2 linked regions of the Notamacropus eugenii genome follow. The protein of the gene in region 1 interacts with the protein of each later gene in a biochemical or structural test. Links are inferred from orthologs where the notes say so. Each region holds a gene or a part of one and is shown in the gene's direction. Other genes may lie near its edges. The genes, in order: REPS2 and EPN1.

Region 1 (10,746 bases):
CCCAGTGCCTGCGGTCTCTGGCACTTAATACACTAATTTATACTAATTGGGTTTTTTTTACTTTGATTTATACTAATTTTTTTATTTTAATTATGTTTACTTTAGGATATTGTAAATCCTTTGAAGGAAAAGACTTTTTTATGCTTCTGTACTGCACATAATCCCAAAATTCTTGATCATAGAATATTTGATGCTGAGTAAATTATTGTTGATTGGTTTCTAGAGCAGAAAGAAAAAGAGGGCAGATCTAATCCGTCTCCATCACAGAAAATGCTGTACTTGCCACTGCTGTCAGTAGGAGGCAGAATGTGTAAGCAGGTAGTTGATCTGAGAATTCAATTCAATTTAGATTGAATTCCATTCAACTCACAGCATCTCAGAGGTGGAAGAAATCTAGTCTATTCTCTACCTAAATGTGAATCTTTTTTTTTTAACAACATACCAGAAGTGGTAATCTAGCACCTGAGGTTTTTAAGCTGGGATCCAGGAATTTGTATTAAAAATATTTTGATAAGTCTGTGGTGTCACTCTAAAGGCTTGAGAAGGAAAGGAAGATTAGAGAATTTTTCTGTCTGAAAAGGGAAAAAAAAAGAAAGTGAACAAGGGTAAGAGACAAAAGGAAGCAATTGGTCACTAGAAATGATACATCATAAAATGATTCCTTGATTTTGCAGATAACTGAGAATTAACTTCATGTCCTTTCTCAACTGCATGTATAAAGGGTTGAAGAAAGATCAGGACAAAAAAAGGTATCTTTTTTTCATATGCTGTAAGGCTCAGAGAAAAGTAGAAAACTCGATTCTGTTTTTTGGAAAAAAATTTTTTCCCTATGCTTCCCCTGCCACCCTCCCTTATACAGTTGTATGATTCTGTTGGCAGGAGGCAGAAGGACTTCACAGGAAATGTAAAAACAAAATCTAAAAGCAAACCTGGAATCTAGTGAAATTTTAAGTGTTTTCTACTTGAAAAATCTATTCATGACAACACTGACATAACTCCTTCCAAGGATTCAACTCAATTCAATTTGATAGACATTCATTAAATGTATAATATGTGCTGGGGATACACAGATGAAGAGTAACATAGTTCATGTCCTCAAAGACTTTATCATCTAAAAATATCCCAGCTACACAAATGAATATGGGATAAATTAGAAAGTGATAGGATTCCAAAGAATGATAAAGTATAACTTTTATACTTGAGTCTACAGTCTAGTAAGGGACATAAGAAACACATAAACAATTTTAGTAAAGGTAACCTGTGAAAGGGGAAGAAGTGTAAGACAATACTATGAGAGTTCAGAGAAGAGACTACATAATACACATGGAATTAGAGAAGGGGGAGATCAATGTAGGTGTCAAGTGATCTCTCATTTATCATCATATCTTCTGTAGAATCCTTGCAAGCTTTTAAACATAGTAGGGACTAAATCAACATTTCCCTAATCAATGATGTTTTTTATTATAATCCATGGCACAGAACCCTCAGGCTCTGGACTTATTTGGACTGGATTGAATTTCAGGGATAGTACTCACAACCAGTGACTAGTGTTCAGTGCCCCCAACCAGTTAAATCTAGGCAATTTCAGACTATAACTTAAATATAACTAATATCTAACACTCCATAGATGTGGTTAACATGATCTCTACCTCCTCTATAAGTAATCAAGATTAGTCAGTCAGTTGATCAATAATCATTTATTGTTGTTGAGTTATATCCAATTCTTCATGATCCTATGGAACATTGCATGCCATTACTGTCCATGGGGGTTGGCAAAGGTACTGGAGTGCTTTGTCATTTCCTTCTCTAGTGGATTAAGGCAAATGGGGTTAAGCCACTTGTCCAGGGTTACACAGCTAGGAAATGTCTGAGGCAGGATTTGAGTTCAGATTTTCCTGATTCCAAGCCCAATCCACTATCCACTAACTACCTCCAAACATTTCTTTTTTTAAATAACTTTTTTAAAAAAAAATTTTAAAACATTTTTATTTAAAGTTTTGAGTTCCAAATTCTATCCCTTCCTCTTCTCTCCCCTCCCTTAGATGGCAAGCAGTAAGATATAGGTATCCAGGAGCAATTATTTTCCACATTAGTGCAAGAAGACTCAACTAAAAGAAAAAAAATGAAAAAAAGGGGAAAATAGTATGGTTCAGTTTGTGTTCAGTCAATATCAGTTCCTTCTCAGGAGGCAGAGCATATGCATCATCATTAGTTCTTTGGAATTGTCTTTGATCATTGTATTGCTGAGAATAGCTAAATCATTTGTAGTTCTTCAGTGAACAACATTGCTGTTACTGTGCACAACATTCTCCTGGTTCTTTTTCACTTCACTACGCATCAGTTCATGTAAGTCTTTCCAGGTTTTTCATAAATTATTCTGCTTGTTATTCCTTATACACAATAGTATTCCATTATAATCATATGTCACAGCTTGTTCAGCCATTCCCCAACTGATGGGCATTCCTTTGATTTCAATTCTTAGCCGCTACAAAAAGAGCTGATGTAAATATTTTTTGTACAATAGGTTCTTTTCCCTTTTTTGGGATGTCTTTGGGACATAGACCTAGCAGTGGTATTGCTAGATCAAAGGACATGGCACAGTTTTATAGCCCTTTGAGCACAGTTGCAAATTGTTCTCCAGAATGGTTGGATCAGTTCAGAATTCTATCAGCAATGCATTAGTGTCCCAGTTTTCCCACATCCCCTCCAACATCCAATATTTTCCTTTTTTGCCACATTAGCCACTCTGATAGGTGTGAGGTGATACCTCAGAGTTGTTTTAAATTGCATTTCTCTGATCAATAGTGATTTAAAGCGTTTTTCAGATTAATACAGATAGCTTTGATTTCTTTGAAAACTGCCTGTTCATATCTTTGACCATTTATCAGTTGGGGAATGACTTGTATTTTTATAAATTTGACTTGTTCTTTATATGTTTGAAAAATGAGGTATTTAATAGAGATTGCGTTGCAAATTTTTCCCCTAGTTTTCTGCTTTCTTTATAATTTTGGTTACATTGGTTTTGTTTGTGCAAAAATGTTTTAATTTTATACTCAAAGTGTTCTTGTAACCAGAATTACAAAATTTACATTTTGTAATGCTCTCTGTATCTTCTTTGGTCCTAAGTTCTTCTCTTATCCATAAATCTGACAGATAAACACCCAATGTGATGGCTTTAATTTTCCCAGGATTGGAAATGTACTTGAGGATATTAGATGACAACCAGCGGCTTCCCATTGGATATGAACTTTATGTACAAATCACAAAACAGAACACAAGATAAAATGCAGGTCTTTGACTTGCCCATATTATGGATTAGACTTCCCTGCTTTTCCTTAAGCTTCGAGGGCCACATGCACCATTGTTTTCTCTCTCTAATTGACTGCCATTCAGTGCTCAGGAATTCAAGTTTTAATACTTGCCATCGGCCAATCTTTCATAAGCGTTTATTCTTTTTTTAACTAGTTTTTTATTTGAACTTGTAATGGCTCCTTATTTTTTATTTTGTAATTTAGAAGAGAATTTATATGGGTCTGTTTTGAGGAGAGCGCTTCATAAACTTTATAAACTCTAAAGTGATATATATATATATGTCATTTCTATTATATGTTATACTTTCAAGTGAAAATACTTTTAAAATTGTAAAGCCCCCGTGAAAGGCTGGATTCCAAGACTTGAATTTGGGGTTGCTAGTGAGGCAATCCTAAGGCAGTTAATGCTACCCAGGAACTCTCCATTTTTCTCAACCAAAAGACTAGATTCTGGGAACTTGCTATCCAGGAAATTCTTTCTTCCTTTACCCAATAAACTAGGATTCAGCAATGCTCAATATGTCTCTAGAAATTTTGGACTTAGGAACTCACCACTTTGATTATGGTTACCATAATGTTGAGAACATGTCTGCCTCTACCACGGGCTTCCAGGGCTAGGTCCAAGGAATGGGGTCCAGGAACACAAATCTGTCTGCTATTATTTCTGGGGCCTGGGGTGGGGGTGGTTGGTCAGTGCCTGAGGATTCAGGAAATATGCTAACAGGGAAAAAAGGTAAGAGATAGAGCGTGGGATAAAGATTCTGTTATATAGTCAGCAGAGAATGGGCAAAGGGAGGAGGATGGTGGCTCTTCCCACCAGACTCAGTTTGTCCCCTATAATTTACAGTGAGTTAAGAATGGGTCACATGGTCTTGTCACCTCTCTTCCTTGGGAGATGGTATCAAAGGTTAACCAACTTATATGCATAATAACATGTTGATCGGAAAACTTCCCTATTTAACTCCCTACATACGCTGTGTAGAAAAATTTTACATAGAAAACCTGCCACCAGTTTCTCTCCTCTTGTCTCTTAAGCAGCCAAAATAAGGAGACAAGTATTCTAATGTCTGGCTGTTTTGTTTGTTTAATAAATCCTCTAATAAAGTTCTAATATCTAATAATGTCAGCTTGGCCAGGAGGTCACCCAAGATTTTCAAAGTCTATGCCAGAGGAGATTAAGCCCTGGCTTGTTGGAGAGACAAGAGTATGGGCCATACATATGTGTGCATGTATCAGTTCTACAGGAACTAGCTTACAGAAACTATATTCTGAAAGTCTTATCATCAGGTTGGAAACAGAATGATGACTTTTTTTTCAATCATGCCATCTATTGATTTACCATCTACCAAGTGGTAGAAGAGTTGAGATCTGGGTTGGTAGAAGAAAGGCTTACAGAAATGAAATAATAGATCCCTGAAGTATTTGCCATATATTCATATCTCCCATTCTAAAATTTCTAAAGAGAATAGGCTGACAATTTTTCTTTCTTAAAAAGCCTAAATGGGACAAATGGTTCATTGTGTGTGTTGTTCTTTAACTTTTTCCTTTGGGTCAGAGACTTTTTCCTACCTCCCCACTGTGTGTAATTTAGTTTAATGACTTACTTCCTTTGAGGAATATTTTAAAATTTAAAGACACAGACAGGGGGTCACTTAGTCCCTTGAGCCAACCAAGTCTGGAAGAATGTCTTGATAACCTTACAAAGAGAAACTAGCTTAATTTGCATTAGGAAGGGGTTAAGATGTTGCTGCTACCAGAGTGGAGATTAGCAGACCCTCTTGCCTAGCCCTCTTAAGTCATTACTTACTCCATTTATATATTTGAAGATGTTCTAGCCCAGGATGGTTGATGAATAGAGGTAATTTCTGTGGGGAGTCATTCACATTATTTTAATGTCAGGAGAAATAGGGGAAGGTCTCTAGGCAGACCATCTGTGTTGAACTACAGGAGAAAATGAAGGAATGCTATGTAGGATAGAGATGAGCAGGCATCAATGGATTGTAATCTCCACTACTGGAATAAATAACCAAATCATTGAGAATAACACTCCATTTGGAGTGTTAGGGAAAAGAGCCCTACTGTTGCCCTACTCATAGGATCATAGATTGAGAGTTGGGAGGGATCTCGGAGATCATGGAGTCTAGCTCCTTCATAAGTGTTAGTTGTCCACTAGGAGTGCCTGGGTATGTGATGGGGAAACTGAGGTCAAGTTGACTTGCCCAAGGTCAAATAGCTAATAAGTGTGGAACCCAAGATTTAAACTAAGGCCTTCATGACTTCCTCTGTCCTCTTGTCAGTCTTTGATAAGCTCTGTTTTTTTTGGTATACCAGTTTTTATTTTTAAACAAAAATGATTCCTTCCAAGTCGTAAAAAATATAATAAAACTTACACAGCGTTGTTGTGAGGGTTGTATACTTCCTCCTGGAAAGTCTTACTCTGCTAGGTAAGGGAGGAAGAATGTACAGTATAATGGAAAGGACACAAGATTAGGGATTTAGTCCTAATTTTGTCACATCTGTCTGTTTAGGCTGGACAATCATTTCACCTCTTTGGACTTCAGTATTCCTAAAATCAGATTTTGGCTAGATAATCTCTAGCATCCCAGCTAGCTTTATGATACATTATTCCTGTCGGTGCCCAGCCCACACACACACACACACACACACACACACACACACACACACACACACACACACACACACACACACACACACACACACACACACACTCTCTCTCTCTTTCTTTTATTCTCCCTCTGACAGCGGGGCTCTAACCGTGTCTGCATTCTCCACGCTAGGACACATTTCTAAGAAGACTGTCCCCGTCCGAGTACTGAAATGGCACCACAAAAACACCAGGGTGACGCTTATTCATGATAACACATGATCCCATCCGTGGCCGCAAACATCTGTGTCGGGCATGAAGGACACCTGCTCAGACTCCGGGGTGGGGCGGGAGGTACCTCTCCCTAAGCCTGCGGCGGACAGACCACAGCTCGGTAGGTAACTGCACCTTCTCCTCGCTCTGGAAAGAGGCAGGGTAGAGCTCTCTGCCAGGCTGGGGGTGTACCATCTTCTCCATACCCCCTTTCTTGCCCCTCCCGTCCCCAATAGGTGTGTGCAGGGCCCGCAGGTGGAACTCCGGGCGAGGGGCAGGGGTGCTGGTCACCTGGGGCATCACAGCGGCAGAGCAGGGCAGCGGCTGCGCGCACAGAGCCCGGCGCGGAGGCTGGAGGCGGGGAGAAGGCTCTGAGTGTGTGCGGGAGTGTGGGAGTGTGGGGCTGTTAGTGGTCGCGGGCCCGGGGATCCCTGGCCTCTGATTGGCTAAAATGGCGCCTCTCTCTGTTTCCATGTGGTAGGAGCTGCCGCGGCACAACATTAAAGGAAGGGAAAGGGGGAGGGGGAGGGGTTGGGAGGCAGCTTGAAGGAGGAGAAGGAGAAGGAGACCTAGGGGACGCGGGCCCGGCGGCCGGCTGCTGGCGGAGTCAGGGTAAACGCTGCAGAGGGCTTGGGGGGAGAGAGGCCGGGGTGGGAGGTGCGGTGGCCGCGGCCGCACCAGCCAGCCCTTCCGCCTGCAAAGTCCAGCTGCCGCAGCTGTCCCCGGGGTCCCCGCCTCCCCGCGCGCTTCCTTGCCTTGGCCGAGTTCCCTTTCGCTGCTCGCGGGCGGCCCATGGAGCAGGGACCAGCGGCGGCGGCGGGGACGGCGGGGGCCGTCGGGGCAGCGGCCAACGCCAGCGCCCCTGCTGCGGCTGCGGCTGCGGGCGCCTTGTCGTCGGGGGCCGGCGCGGGCTACTGCCCGGTGCCCCTGCCCCTGAGTGACAGCGAGCAGCAGCGCTACTCCGAGCTCTTCGCGCGCTGTTGCTGTGCCTCGGCCACCTCCTCCTCTTCCTCTTCTGGACACGCTCAGCCACCTCCGGAGGTGGGCAGGGGAGCCCCGCTCCCCGGACCTGCAGCCGCCGCAGGGGCCAGCCAAGTGGGAGATCTGTTCAGGGCATCGCAGCTGCCCGCTGAGACCCTTCACCAGGTGGGTGAGGGAGCGCCCCCGGTGCCTTGTTCCGGGGGCCGGCCGGCCGGAGGAGACCGGGGCTGGGCAGATTGGGGGGCTGGGAGGGAAGGGGGCCGAGGAGGAGATTCGCAGGGCACTGACGAGGCGTGGACAGCGGGAGGGTGCCCGGGCTCGGACCCTCCTCCTCCCCAGGGCGGAGGGGTTGGGGTTTTCGCCTCCCTTGCCCACTCAGATTCTCCGAAAAGTTCAGCCGCCCACCCCCGAGGTTTTCAGTATTCCTCCCTCTCCACTTCCCTCAGACATTTTTGGGAATGTCTTGGTCTTTACCTTAGGGACCGAAAGTTTGTTGGGTGCGGGGGCGGCGGTGGCTTTTGTTTGTTCGCCTCTGTCCCTCCCTCTCCGGTTCCTCTTCTCTCGCGAAGAACTTGGAGGACGAATCCAGAGTGCGTGGGAAGGGGCGAATAGGAACTGGGAGAGGAAAGAAGGGCTGTGTGTCTGTCTGTGTTTGTACAGCAGGCTTCCTCTATCTGGGCTCTGGAGCATTGTTACTCCTCAGACTACGCTGGCTCTTCCAGAAGAGCTTGAGACTTTCTGGGTCAGATTAAGTTAGTTGGAGGGAGACAGGGGAAGGCCAGGCTGTTGACTGATGGTTGAGGTTTACGTTTCTGAACGCTTGTTCCCACTTGGACGCTCCAGACCTTCCATGGATTGAAGTCTTTAGGAACATATGCTCCGCCTCCTCTTCTGCTGAGACCAGGTGGGAGGCTGATTGAGAGAGCCCGAGGGCTTTATTTAAATGGTGGAAGAAAGCCCATCGGGCACCATCTTTTTTTCTCTGATTTTCTTGTTCAGGTGCAAGTGCTCTTTGAGCCCCGTGGGTGTTCTGCTGCAGCCCACGTTTGGTGGTGTGGTATCATTTTGAGCATCCAGCTGTGAGCTGGAGAAGGGCCTCTGACATATGGAATATAAAAACTTCTTACATTAATTTGACTTTAGCGTACTCAGAATACTCACCTGAGTAGTGTTGTGGCTAGACAATGGAATTGGTAACACTGTGACAAGGCAGATAAATAATCTTTCTCTTTTAAAAGTTTGTAGGTATGTATCACACAGTTAAGTCCTTTATGCACCCATGTTTATCCAGTCTTCCTTTAGCCAGTGTGGTTGGTCCTTTTCGCTCCCATCTGCAGAATTCAGGATTGCTTTTTCTTTCAAAAATTATTATATCAATGATATTAGCAGTAACTTGGACCTTTGTTCTGAGTTCAAATACAACCTCTGAGAGTTACTAGCTGTGTGACTCTGGGCAAGTCACTTATTCTCCATTTTTCTCAGTTCCCTTTTCAGTAAAATGGGGATGATAATAATAGCACCTACCTCTCCAGGTGTTTGTGAAGATTAAATGAAATAATATTTGTAAAGTACTTAGCACATTGCCAGCACATCGGAAGTGCTATATAAATAGTAGCTATGATGATGTTGATAAGACTGATTGAGAGGCACTGATGTATAGTGAATAATATTCTGGAGTCTAGGAAGATCTGAGTTCAGGTGTTGCCTTAGAAATGTATTAGTTGTGTGATCCCAGGCAAATCACTTAACCTCTGTTTGCCTTAGATTCCTCATCTGTAAAATGGGGATAATAATAGCACTTAACTCCCAGGGTTTTTGTGAGGAACAAAATAGACAGTCATTGTAAAGCTCTTATCACAGTGCCACGTGCACAGTAAGTAGGCACTCTGTAAATGTAGCTATTACTACTACTACTACTACCACCACCACCACCAACCCCAAATTAGCACACTCATTCTTGTTGCTGGACTGACTAGGCTAAAAAATACGTACTTTTAAATCTTCTTTTCCCACAGGTCTTAGGCACATCATTTTATAGGTAAGCAAACCATGTCACCTGAAGTAAAATGAGAACTCACCCCAGTTATATGGATTCAGAGAATATCTTTAGAAAGTCACTTTGAGCCCATAGTGGAGTGGGGGTGGAGGGATGGGAGGAGGAAGCTGCTCTCTAAACACAGATCTTTATTATTAAAATTAAATAAGGTTGTAAGAATGCCTACCAAACCCTTATTAAATCAGCTTGATAACACCCACAGGAAAACTGAGAGATAGAATACTCTACCACCTTCTCAGTTATGGGGGAAGAAATGACAGGACCAAACAAAGTAGGTCACACAGTAAGTCAGTGACAAAGTTGGGAACAGCATCATGTTGTGGTGTCAAGAAATTCATAGTGTGATGGGTGAAGGTGGGAGCGGGGGGGGGGGGGGGGGGGGAAGGAAACATTAAATTTTACCATGTTGTTTGTCAACTTTTGCCTTCCTGAGACAGGGGGACTTTAAGGATGTGAGTATCAAAGTTCTGTTTCGAGGTGTGTGTGGTTAAAAAGAACCTAGAGCATTTCCTGTATGAGTGGGTAATGTCCAACATCTTGATGACTGAAAGAAATCCATTTAGAGGAGATTTCTTGACCTCTCTCAGATGTTAGTTTATGGGGCCATTTCTAAATAGATGTGGTGTACAACACATGTATGTGTCCCTCTCCTCCAACTTGTTTTTTTTTTTTAAATAAAGACAAAGTTAGATTAAAATGAACATCAAGAGCAGTCATTTAAAAACAACAACAGTTGTAAGTTACTTCCATTTCCCTTGACCGTTGCTTGGTTTGTGTTAAGGATTGTTGCTCATGATTTGCTTTACCCTAGGTGTGGCTATTAAGATCCTAGTCACTCTATTAAGTGAATTTAGACATTCTTCATTCTTAACCTTTTCCCCCTATCTAACAGAAACCAATAAGTTTAGAATTAAGTGGACGAACAGGTATGACTACTTAAAGCTGGAAGGCCTTAAACTTCTCAGGCTGTTTCTATGGCAACAACCACTTTTCTCTTCCCCCCTTCCATCAGCATACAATTAAAATTTACAAAGTGTTCTGGAGCTTTACCTGCAGAAAGTATTCTTAGTACCAGAAACTTTCTTCCCTCTTCAAAATTGGTTTTCCGATTGAATTTTGTATCTCAAAGTAAAAATGAAACATATGCCTGTTACTTCATATGACATGCACATGTCTAAAAAGTTATGTCTAAATTAAATGATAATTTAGTTGCCTTGGGGGAACTCCCATTTCAAAGAGACTCTGCTTAATATCTTTTAAAATAAAGTAATACTGGGAAAAGTTTTTTCTTTTCTTTCTTCTCTTTTCTTTTTTTTTTATTTTTGCAGACAAACCTGTACTAGAAAAAATGTAAAATGAAATAATTCTAAACCAGAAAGATAAAATATGAAAGCCTGGGAAATATTTGTTAAGAGTGTTAGTCTTAACATATTAAGGTAACAAAAATACTGGTTAGAATTTCTTGACGTTGGTTATGGCCTAAAGAATACGGGAAGACAGGTGAGTTTCAGGGGTTTTTT
Region 2 (10,240 bases), about 350 Mb from region 1:
CCCTGCAATCCACACGGTCAGACCCTCCCCCCCCGGCCCCCTTCCACTACAGACGGATGATGGCGCAGTTCCAGGGGCCGGGGGGGTGGCCCTCCTTTCCTCCCTCCCCTTCCCTCCCCCCCTTACCCAGGGAGTACACATGTGCACCTACTGGAGAGAGGGACAGAGGCTCACGCACGCCGTCTCCCCGAACCCCGTTTTTTCTCTTGTTCTCTGGCGCCGTCTCTTCCCCTGTTCCCTCCCGTCGTTGCAGTTTTTTTTGGCCCCATTCCCCATCCCGCATCCCTCTCCCCCCCCTTTCCCTCCGCCCCAAGAATCCCCAGATCAAAGAGTTGTTTCCATTTCTCTTTAAAGTGAAAATTGTGGGGCTGAGATCCCTCGTAGCAATTTTGCTACCGTCGTCCAAGGCAAGTAAGGGCCATTCTGGCTTTTCTCAAACCTGCGCTTTTTGCTACATTTGATAAACTAGCCCCCGGAATCCAGGGCCAGGCCCCTCCACATCACTCTTCTCTCCCTCCCCCTCCCCGTCCTCTCCCTCCTCTCTCTGTCCTTGTCTGCTCTTGTGCTCGCCCTCCTCCCCTTCTGCTGCTCACACTCCTCCATTGACCTGGGTCATCTTGGCCCCTTCTCGGCGGTGTCCCTGCTCTGCCCTGCTCCTCCTCCTCCTTCCTGACATCATTTCCCCTGGTCCTTTTGGCGCTTTCTGCCCCCTTTTTTCTTTTTATGCTGCCACGATTCCTTCTCTATCCCTTTTGTTTCTTCTGTTTTCTCCCTCTCTCACGTTTCTTTCTGTACTCTTGGGCCTTCTCTTTGGGACCTTGAGTATTTCCTTTCTCTGTAACCCTTTTCTGCTTCTCTTTATGCCTCTTACCTTTCTCTTACGGTTTCCTATCTTCCCCTTCAAATCCCAAATCTCCCCATTCTCCCCTCCCACCCCCTTCCCCCTTGCCCTACCCCCACTCCGTGTCTCCCTCTCTCACCCCACCCCTCCTCTCTCCACCTCCCCTGCCCCCCCCTCTTTCCTCTCCCCCTGCAGGAAGCCATGATGGATTTCTTCAACGCCCAGATGCGCTTAGGGGGGCTTACTCAGGCCCCTGGCAACCCAGTCTTGGCCGTGCAGATAAACCAGGATAAGAACTTTGCCTTCCTAGAGGTAAGCTGGAATGGGGAACCTAGAGGCCATAAGGTGTTTTGAAGAGGGTGCTCTGAAATCCAGTTTATTCCCCAACTCCCTGTGAGTGAACCTCGGCCAAGTCTGTTCTCCCCCAACCTCTTACCTTGGGTAGTCTCTGAACTCCTTTGCCCTTGTCACCAGTTGTGCTGCTAACTTGTGGCCTCGTACGGCTCTCTTCCTCCATTTTCCCAATGAACGGTGAGATGAGGGAGGGCATTGTAATGAGCTTTTGATAATCTACAGCGCCACATTTCTGTTTTCTTCTTTTAGTTCCGATCAGTGGATGAGACGACTCAGGCCATGGCCTTTGATGGCATCATCTTCCAGGGCCAATCACTTAAGATCCGAAGGCCCCATGACTACCAGCCACTGCCTGGCATGTCTGAAAACCCCTCTGTCTACGTGCCCGGTGAGGGAGCCCTAAATCGTTTTAACCCTTCCTGCCGTGGTAATCCCTAGTTGGGACTCCTTTGGAGGGCCTTGGAAGTCTGGGTAGACCACAAGCTCAGTAAGAGTGGGTGAGATGCTGCCCCAGCCATTGTAATAGGTGGTCCAAGGCCTCGTGTCCAGAGCCCAGGACAAGAGTCCTATTTTAGTCACTTTACATCTGGCAGGAGCCTGGTTCAGTTCTGGGGACTGTATTTTAGAACTAAGCTGGCCAATAAGTACCCAGAGGCTATTGAGGTGGGCCAGTCCAGAGGCAGGACACCCAAGGAAGAAGGTTGAAGGAGCTTGGTGATGATAAAGAACATTTGGGGGAAGGAGGAGGCGGCAGATCGCGCTTCCTTCTGCACTCACATGTTTTCAGGGCTCCACAGGGGAGAGCAGGGGGCACATCATTCAGCCTGGGCAACCCTTCTGGAATATTGTAGGAGATTCCTTGCGGGCAGGTCAGAGCCTAGGCAAACACTCCCTGGGCATTTTATTCTTGCTCTTTCTCCTAACTCATGGGTCTTAGCTTAAGAATGAGATCTTACTGGTAGCCAGTCAAGTAAGGTCTTTGTTGAGCATGAGATTGAGGTGTTTTGAGGAAGCTCTGCATACCAAATGCTGCGATCTAAGCCCAGCCCTTCTTGTGTGTCCCTGGGCCTCAGTTTGCACAGTTGTTGTGACCACTGGTATGGTTTTTCTGCCAGAGCCTTGAACTTGGGGATCCAGGGTCACTGTCTCTGCTCTGCTGCTCTCAGGCATGACCTTAAGCAAGCTTTTAGTTTTTTCCTTTGTGCCCTAAGGAGGTTAGAATCGACAATCTTTCAATACCCCTCACTAGAAATATGCCCAGCAAGGACCTTCTGGCCCTAAAGCCAGTGACTCCCCATTTTTTAGAATCTAGAAAACCCCAGAATCTCAAGTTGGCTTTTTCAGTGTTAGCCGGCTCTGCTCTTCACTTCTTAGGCCGGGTGGCTGGAGGAGGCATTGATTGCCGTGAGTGCCGTTGGTGGGCTGGTCTCACACTTGTGCCTCACCTTGCCCTTCTTGCCGGGGTTGCTGCTCTGAGGCAGTCATCTTAGCCCATGGTCACAGCCATGGTGGGATTAGCTGAGATCTCCACAGGCCCTTCCAGCTGGTCAGGGCACCCTGCTGGGCCTGGTCCCCCTCTGTAACAAGAGTTGGTGTTTAACCAGATGTTTAATGTCCATCCTGGGGAGGGGTGTTTGTTGGTGTCCCAGAGGTTAGTCACATTCTTGGTTTCTGCTGCTGCTCCTGGGTGTTTGGAGCAGAAGGTGGGTTGCAGCGGTGTGGACCCCATGTAACCAGATCTCCCCAGGCCCTTGGAGGCCGAAGTGACCTCCCACTGAAGGGCTGCCCCTCTCCATTCCTGCAGGTGTCGTGTCCACTGTGGTCCCAGATTCTGCTCACAAGCTGTTCATTGGGGGACTCCCCAACTACCTGAATGATGATCAGGTAACCACCTGCCAACTTCCCCTGTCACCTGCTTGTCCTCTTGCTTTCCCTCCCCTGACTCGCTCCATTTCGTCCCCGCCTCCACCCCGCCCGCCCGCCACCCCCCACTTCTCCACCACAGGTAAAGGAACTGCTGACTTCATTTGGGCCGCTCAAAGCCTTTAACCTGGTCAAAGACAGTGCCACGGGCCTCTCCAAGGGCTATGCCTTCTGTGAGTACGTGGACATCAACGTCACTGACCAGGTGAGTGTCCCTGGAGGACCTCTGCCAGTGGTCCCTGTGTGCTTGGGCTAAGGGGGTCAGGGAGGGTCGGTCAGCCCCCTGGGATGGGTGGGGAACAGCCCTTCTGCCCCTGCCCCCACTCCAGTCAGGGGTAGGGGGAGGTTGGGGAATTTGGCCCCTGACCCACACTCCCCCCACGCCCGCCCCACCCCCACCCCACCCCCTGCAGGCCATCGCGGGGCTGAACGGGATGCAACTGGGGGATAAGAAGCTACTGGTACAGAGGGCTAGTGTGGGAGCCAAGAACGCAACGCTGGTGAGCCCTTCGGCACGTCATCTTCCATTGGCTAGGGGGCCCTGGGGGGTGGAAGGGGGGGTGGGATTGGGCTGGGAGGAGCCGAGTGGACAGGCAGGCCAGGCAGAGGGTGGGCAGCAGCCTGGGGGAGGTGGGGGGGGTGTGGGTGTCCCACTGGGGTGTGGAGTCTAGCAGTGGGGAGGAGGAGGGGGGTCAGCTAGAGCAGCGATGGCGGGCAGGGGTCCGAGGCTCCCAGGCCTGTGGCCTGACCCCTCCCTCCCCGTGGCCCCCCACAGAGCACGATAAACCAGACGCCGGTGACGCTCCAGGTCCCTGGCCTGATGAGCTCACAGGTGCAGATGGGTGGCCACCCCACGGAGGTGCTGTGCCTCATGAACATGGTGCTCCCCGAGGAGCTGCTGGACGACGAGGAGTATGAGGAGATCGTGGAGGATGTCCGGGATGAGTGCAGCAAGTACGGGGTGGTCAAGTCCATCGAGATCCCCCGGCCTGTGGACGGTGTGGAGGTCCCCGGCTGCGGCAAGGTCAGGAGGAGCCCTGCACGTGGCCCGGGTGGGTGGGAGCAGACCGCGGGCCGGGCCCCGGCCCCCCCCCACCCCGGGCCGGGCCCTCCCCCCCCCCCCCCCCGGCCGGACCCCAGCCCCCCCCCCCCACCCCGGGCCGGGCCCCAGCCCCCGCGCTCTCTCCGCAGATCTTCGTGGAGTTCACGTCCGTGTTCGACTGTCAGAAGGCCATGCAGGGCCTGACTGGCCGCAAGTTCGCCAACAGAGTGGTTGTCACAAAGTACTGCGACCCCGACTCCTACCACCGCCGGGACTTCTGGTAGAAGCAGCCGGGGAGGGGGGCCGGGTCAGGGGGCCGGAGCTGGCTGGGAGACCCCCCCATCCCTTCCCCCTCACTCGACCCTGGCCAGGAGAGGAGGAAGAGGCGCCTCGGAGGCCGAAGGCCGGGGGCTGAAGCCCTGGGCAGGGGAGGGGCTGGGGTGTGGACACACACACACACACACACACACACAATACACACACGAACACACGGGGATGGGGGATGGGGGAGGGCATTGGGGGGGTGGGGTGGGCCCCCCTCCTCCCCTCGCGGTAGCAACATAGCGTGTTTATATTTTACGGCCAAAACTTTTTCAATTTTGTTCTCCTGACCTTCGACCTCTGCCCGCCCAGGACCATAAAGCTCCTCTTCCCGCCCCGCCCCTTCCTGGGACCCCGCCCCCTCCCGTGATGGTTTCTTATGTAGTAGAGATGTTGTTTCTCTCCGCCCGTCCCCTTCCTGTCCGCCCCGCCCCCCTTCTCCTGGCAGTTTCATATTTGCTAAAGACGAATTTGCTCATTAAACATTTTGTTGTATTTTACTTTACGGAGCGTCCAGTGTTGACTCGGGGGTGTGGGTGCGACCGCCCCTCCCCCTGCCCCCGTCAGTTACACCTGTCGTGGTGACGTCACTGACGCACTTGGCGTTCTCCCCGGAGTGAAGGGGCCGATGGGGGCGGGGCTCCGGGGTTCGGAAGGCGGTGCCTCGCCGCCCGCCTCAGTGTTCCCATCTGTAAAAGCTTCGGGCCAATTCCGGAGGGCCCTGCCGGATCCCGAACCGGACCGCACACTCCGTCTCCAGGAGGGGCGGCTTGCATGCTCCGTTCCAGCCCTCGGTTTGCCCTGCCCCCAGCGCGCGGCGCTCTAGCCGCTCTCCTCTCGGTGGTTGGGGCCTGAACAGGAAGTGACGTGGCGGGCGGCCAGCTGAGGGAAGCCGGAAGCGGACGGGGCGCGACTTCCGCTTCCGGCCGTCCTCTTCCCGGCCGCTTCCCCTGCGCTCGGCGGCTGCCCCCCGCCCCCTCCCGGGAGCCGGAGCCCGAGGATTCCCGGGGTGAGCGGGTGAGGGGGGCGGGGCGGGGTTCCCCCTCTCTGTTTCCGCCGCGTCCCTGCGTCCCCCGTCTCGGGGTCTTCTCCCCGGCTCTGTCTGAGGTTTCCGGGTCCCATGTGGATGCGTCGACCCCCACCCCTCCCGTGCCCTCTGGGACCCCGGCCCTGCTCGGCCCGTCTGCCCCTGCGCTCTGCCCCCTCCCTGCCGCGCTCTCCCTCAGTTTCCCCCCCTTGCCCAGGCCCTGGGCGAGCTGTCGCCGCGTCTTCTTCCCTCCCGGCTCCTGGCCTTGCCTTGTCTCTCCTGAGCTTCTCTGGGCTGGACGGAGGCCCTGGGGCCGGGCCCTGGGAGGTGCAAGGACCTGGCGGTGGGGAGGGGCCAGGGGCTTTTGGCGTTGGTCTGCGCACAGCGGGGGGCCGCGAGCGTGCTGGTGGGTGGCCCCCCCCCTCCGGTGCACACCCATTTCCCGCCTCAGCGCCTCTCTCGGCCTCTGCGCCCCCAGATGCGGTGACCGGCTCCCCCTTCCCTGGCCCCCTCCCGCGGCCCCGGGGGCGGCCCCGCAGCCATGTCGACTTCGTCGCTGCGCCGGCAGATGAAGAACATCGTCCACAACTACTCGGAGGCGGAGATCAAGGTGCGCGAGGCCACCAGCAATGACCCCTGGGGGCCCTCGAGCTCGCTCATGTCCGAGATCGCTGACCTCACCTACAACGTGGTCGCCTTCTCGGAGATCATGAGCATGATCTGGAAGCGGCTCAACGACCACGGCAAGAACTGGCGGCACGTGTACAAGGTCAGGGGCGCCCCGGGCCGGGGGGCGGGGGGCGGGGGGCGGGGCGCTGCGAGCTGCCCCGGGCCCACCCCCTGCTGCCCTCAGGCCATGACGCTCATGGAGTACCTCATCAAGACCGGCTCGGAGCGCGTGTCCCAGCAGTGCAAGGAGAACATGTACGCGGTGCAGACCCTGAAGGACTTCCAGTACGTGGACAGGGACGGCAAGGACCAGGGCGTCAACGTGCGGGAGAAGGCCAAGCAGCTGGTGGCCCTGCTGCGGGACGAGGACCGCCTGCGGGAGGAGCGAGCCCACGCGCTCAAGACCAAGGAGAAGCTGGCCCAGACGGCCACGGGTGAGAGCCCGCAGGGGAGGGAGGCTTCCTCGTCTTCCCCAGCCCCGCTGCAGCCTCCTCTTTATCAGCCGCAGACGTTGCCTGGGGTGCGGTCCTGCCTGGGACTGAGATAGAGGGCGCCTGGGGAGCCCGAGAGGGAGGGGAGCTGGGGAGCCCGAGACGGAGGGGAGCTGGGGAGCCCGAGACGGAGGGGAGCTGGGGAGCCTGAGACGGAGGGCGCCTGGGGATCTGGGGAGCCCGAGAGGGAGGGGAGCTGGGGAGCCCGAGACGGAGGGGAGCTGGGGAGCCCGAGAGGGAGGGGAGCTGGGGAGCCCGAGAGGGAGGGGAGCTGGGGAGCCCGAGACGGAGGGGAGCTGGGGAGCCCGAGAGGGAGGGGAGCTGGGGAGCCCGAGACGGAGGGGAGCTGGGGAGCCCGAGAGGGAGGGGAGCTGGGGAGCCCGAGACGGAGGGGAGCTGGGGAGCCCGAGACGGAGGGGAGCTGGGGAGCCCGAGACGGAGGGGAGCTGGGGAGCCTGAGACGGAGGGCGCCTGGGGATCTGGGGAGCCCGAGAGGGAGGGGAGCTGGGGAGCCCGAGAGGGAGGGGAGCTGGGGAGCCTGAGATGGAGGGGAGCTGGGGAGCCTGAGACGGAGGGCGCCTGGGGAGCCCGAGAGGGAGGGGAGCTGGGGAGCCCGAGAGGGAGGGGAGCTGGGGAGCCCGAGACGGAGGGGAGCTGGGGAGCCTGAGATGGAGGGGAGCTGGGGAGCCTGAGACGGAGGGCGCCTGGGGATCTGGGGAGCCCGAGAGGGAGGGGAGCTGGGGAGCCCGAGAGGGAGGGGAGCTGGGGAGCCCGAGAGGGAGGGGAGCTGGGGAGCCCGAGACGGAGGGGAGCTGGGGAGCCCGAGAGGGAGGGGAGCTGGGGAGCCTGAGAGCCTGAGACGGAGGGCGCCTGGGGAGCTGGGGAGCCTGAGACGGAGGGCGCCTGGGGAGCCCGAGAGGGAGGGGAGCTGGGGAGCCTGAGATGGAGGGGAGCTGGGGAGCCCGAGACGGAGGGGAGCTGGGGAGCCTGAGATGGAGGGGAGCTGGGGAGCCCGAGACGGAGGGGAGCTGGGGAGCCTGAGAGCCTGAGACGGAGGGGAGCTGGGGAGCCCGAGACGGAGGGGAGCTGGGGAGCCCGAGACGGAGGGGAGCTGGGGAGCCCGAGACGGAGGGGAGCTGGGGAGCCCGAGACGGAGGGGAGCTGGGGAGCCCGAGAGGGAGGGGAGCTGGGGAGCCTGAGACGGAGGGGAGCTGGGGAGCCTGAGACGGAGGGGAGCTGGGGAGCCTGAGACAGAGGGCGCCTGGGGATCTGGGGAGCCTGAGACGGAGGGCGCCTGGGGATCTGGGGAGCCTGGGGATCTGGGGAGCCTGAGACGGAGAGGATCTGGGGAGCCTGAGACGGAGGGCGCCTGGGGAGCTGGGGAGCCTGAGACGGAGGGCGCCTGGGGAGCTGGGGAGCCTGGGCAGGGCCTTCCTCCCTCCTCTCCCAAAAGGCTTGAATGTCCTGTTTCCATGTTTCTGCTTCTCTTTCCTCTCTTTCTTCCTTGTGTCTTTTCTTTTCCCTGCTTCTCTCTCTTATCTCCGTCTCTTCACTTTTTGCTGTCCCTTTTCCATCCTCCGCTCCATCTCCTCTCTTGATTCTTGTTTCTGGTATTTTCCTGTCTTAGTCATTTTTGGAGTACCTACTACGTGTTGGACACCACATGTGCTCAGCATTGTGGATGCAAAGAAAAAGCAGTCGTTCCCCCCTCCCCCAAGTTCTCAGGTTCCGTAGACCTTGTGCCCAGGCCAGTCCATGCAGTCTGACCAAAGGGAGTGCCTGGTAGTGGGGGCAGAGGTGCTGAAGGAAAGCATGGAGATGAGGACATAGCTAACAAGGGTGCCATCATGTGTTCTCTCTTGCGTTTGGGGGCAGGACCAGACCTGGGATGTCTGTCTTTAGTGGGAGGGGACCTCCCTGGAGCTAGGCCCTGTCCCACCCTTCCCACCATTGTTTCCGCAGCATCTTCAGCAGCTGTGGGGTCTGGGGCGCCCCCAGAGGCAGAGCAGGCCTGGCCCCAGAGTAGTGGGGAGGAGGAGCTACAGCTGCAGCTGGCCCTGGCCATGAGCAAGGAAGAGGCTGACCAGGTAGCGGGGGCGGGGGCCTGCTGGGGGGCAGCGGTGCACTGGGGTTTGGCCACATCTCCTCTCCATCTTCCTCATCCTTCACTTCCTTAGCCCCCAGTCCAGCCTCTTTCAGGCTCTCTCTGGCTCTCCTGGCTCTGCAGCTCTTTCTTGGTCCTGCCCCGCCCCCCTCACATTCTCTCTCCCCACCCTGCCAGCCCCCACCCTGTGGCCCTGAGGATGACGTCCAGCTCCAGCTGGCCCTTAGTTTGAGCCGGGAGGAGCATGACAAGGTCAGAGCCACGTCCCCGCCTCCCCCCCATCCCCAAGGCCCAAACCCCCCACCCCGGGCTGCAGGCGTTCAGCTCCCCTCATTCCATCCCCTCATGTTTATTTGCTGGTTACCTTTATGGGGAAAGGGTTCTTGGGAAGTTGGGGGGCCAGTATGTGGGGGCCGGTCCTAATCTTCTGTCTTCCGTCCGGGTGCCCACATCGCCCAGGAGGAGCGGATTCGTCGGGGCGATGACCTGAGACTGCAGATGGCCATTGAGGAAAGCAAGAGAGAGACTGGGGGCAAGGAGGAGGTGAGGGGGCCTGGGGTGGGAGGGGCTCTGCAGGGTCTCTCTATACTCCCCCCACACCCAGTTCTCTCACATTTGATCTCTTCTGTCTCCCCAGTCGTCTCTCATGGATCTGGCTGATGTCTTCACAGCCCCAGCCCCCCCACCCTCCTCTGATCCCTGGGGCGGTCCTGTCCTTGCAGCTGGCCCACCTTCTGACCCCTGGGGGGGGCCCCCAGGACCCCCTGTCCCACCCTCAGCTGACCCCTGGGGGGGTCCGGCTCCCACCCCTGCCTCTGGGGACCCCTGGAGACCTACCCCACCCCCAGGCCCTGCAGCTGATCCCTGGGGGGGCCCCCCTGCTCCCCCTGCTGGAGAGGGGGGGACCCCAGACCCCTGGGGGGGAGCTGATGGTAAGTACTGACTTTGTCAGTCTCTAGTTCTGTTCTTTCCCAACTACAGAATCTCTCTTTGCGGGGCATGGAGGGGGGGGTCCTTTCCTACTCATCCCCTCCAACCCCCGTGCTGCCTTCTTGCGCACTCCCCTGATCTTGTCCTCAGGCCCAAGTGGGGCCCCAGTCAGCGGCCCATCCACCACTGCTGACCCATGGGCACCAGCACCAGCCTTCTCAGACCCGTGGGGAGGCTCCCCAGCCAAGCCCAGCACTAATGGCACCCCAGGTAGCTGGGAAGGAGGGGCTGGAACAGCCTGAGTTGGGGGGGAGGGGCTCGTGCCTTGGAGGCCCCAGAGCTTGCTCTGTCCCATGCAGCGACTGGAGGCTTCGATGCAGAGCCAGATGAATTCTCTGACTTTGATCGCCTTCGGACAGCACTGCCTGCCTCAGGCAGCAGCACCGGTGAGCCAATCTGCCCCACTGATCCACCTGGGGAGGCTGCTTGCCAAGGGTGGTATCAGTCCTTGTTCTCCCTAACTATGGCCCATAACCTC

What was found.
Region 2: the proteins of REPS2 (region 1) and EPN1 form a complex in vitro, tested with the Homo sapiens proteins (3 studies listed by BioGRID and IntAct, with this or other methods). The link is inferred for Notamacropus eugenii from reciprocal best matches to the Homo sapiens genes REPS2 and EPN1.

What each region holds. Positions count from the first base shown.
Region 1 is NC_092876.1:372,762,573-372,773,318, reverse strand, and holds the start of REPS2 (ralBP1-associated Eps domain-containing protein 2), read left to right. Parts: upstream 1-6,816; 5' UTR 6,817-6,981; coding exon 6,982-7,335; intron 7,336-10,746. UniProt on the Homo sapiens protein: Involved in ligand-dependent receptor mediated endocytosis of the EGF and insulin receptors as part of the Ral signaling pathway. By controlling growth factor receptors endocytosis may regulate cell survival.
Region 2 is NC_092876.1:18,166,701-18,176,940, forward strand, and holds the start of EPN1 (epsin-1), read left to right. Parts: upstream 1-6,049; coding exon 6,050-6,277; intron 6,278-6,361; coding exon 6,362-6,611; intron 6,612-8,630; coding exon 8,631-8,755; intron 8,756-8,949; coding exon 8,950-9,024; intron 9,025-9,231; coding exon 9,232-9,315; intron 9,316-9,409; coding exon 9,410-9,704; intron 9,705-9,852; coding exon 9,853-9,972; intron 9,973-10,061; coding exon 10,062-10,148; intron 10,149-10,240. Other genes in the region: U2AF2 (splicing factor U2AF 65 kDa subunit), read left to right, coding at 1,037-1,153, 1,445-1,583, 3,000-3,079, 3,201-3,323, 3,532-3,630, 3,894-4,142, 4,310-4,444. UniProt on the Homo sapiens protein: Binds to membranes enriched in phosphatidylinositol 4,5-bisphosphate (PtdIns(4,5)P2). Modifies membrane curvature and facilitates the formation of clathrin-coated invaginations. Regulates receptor-mediated endocytosis.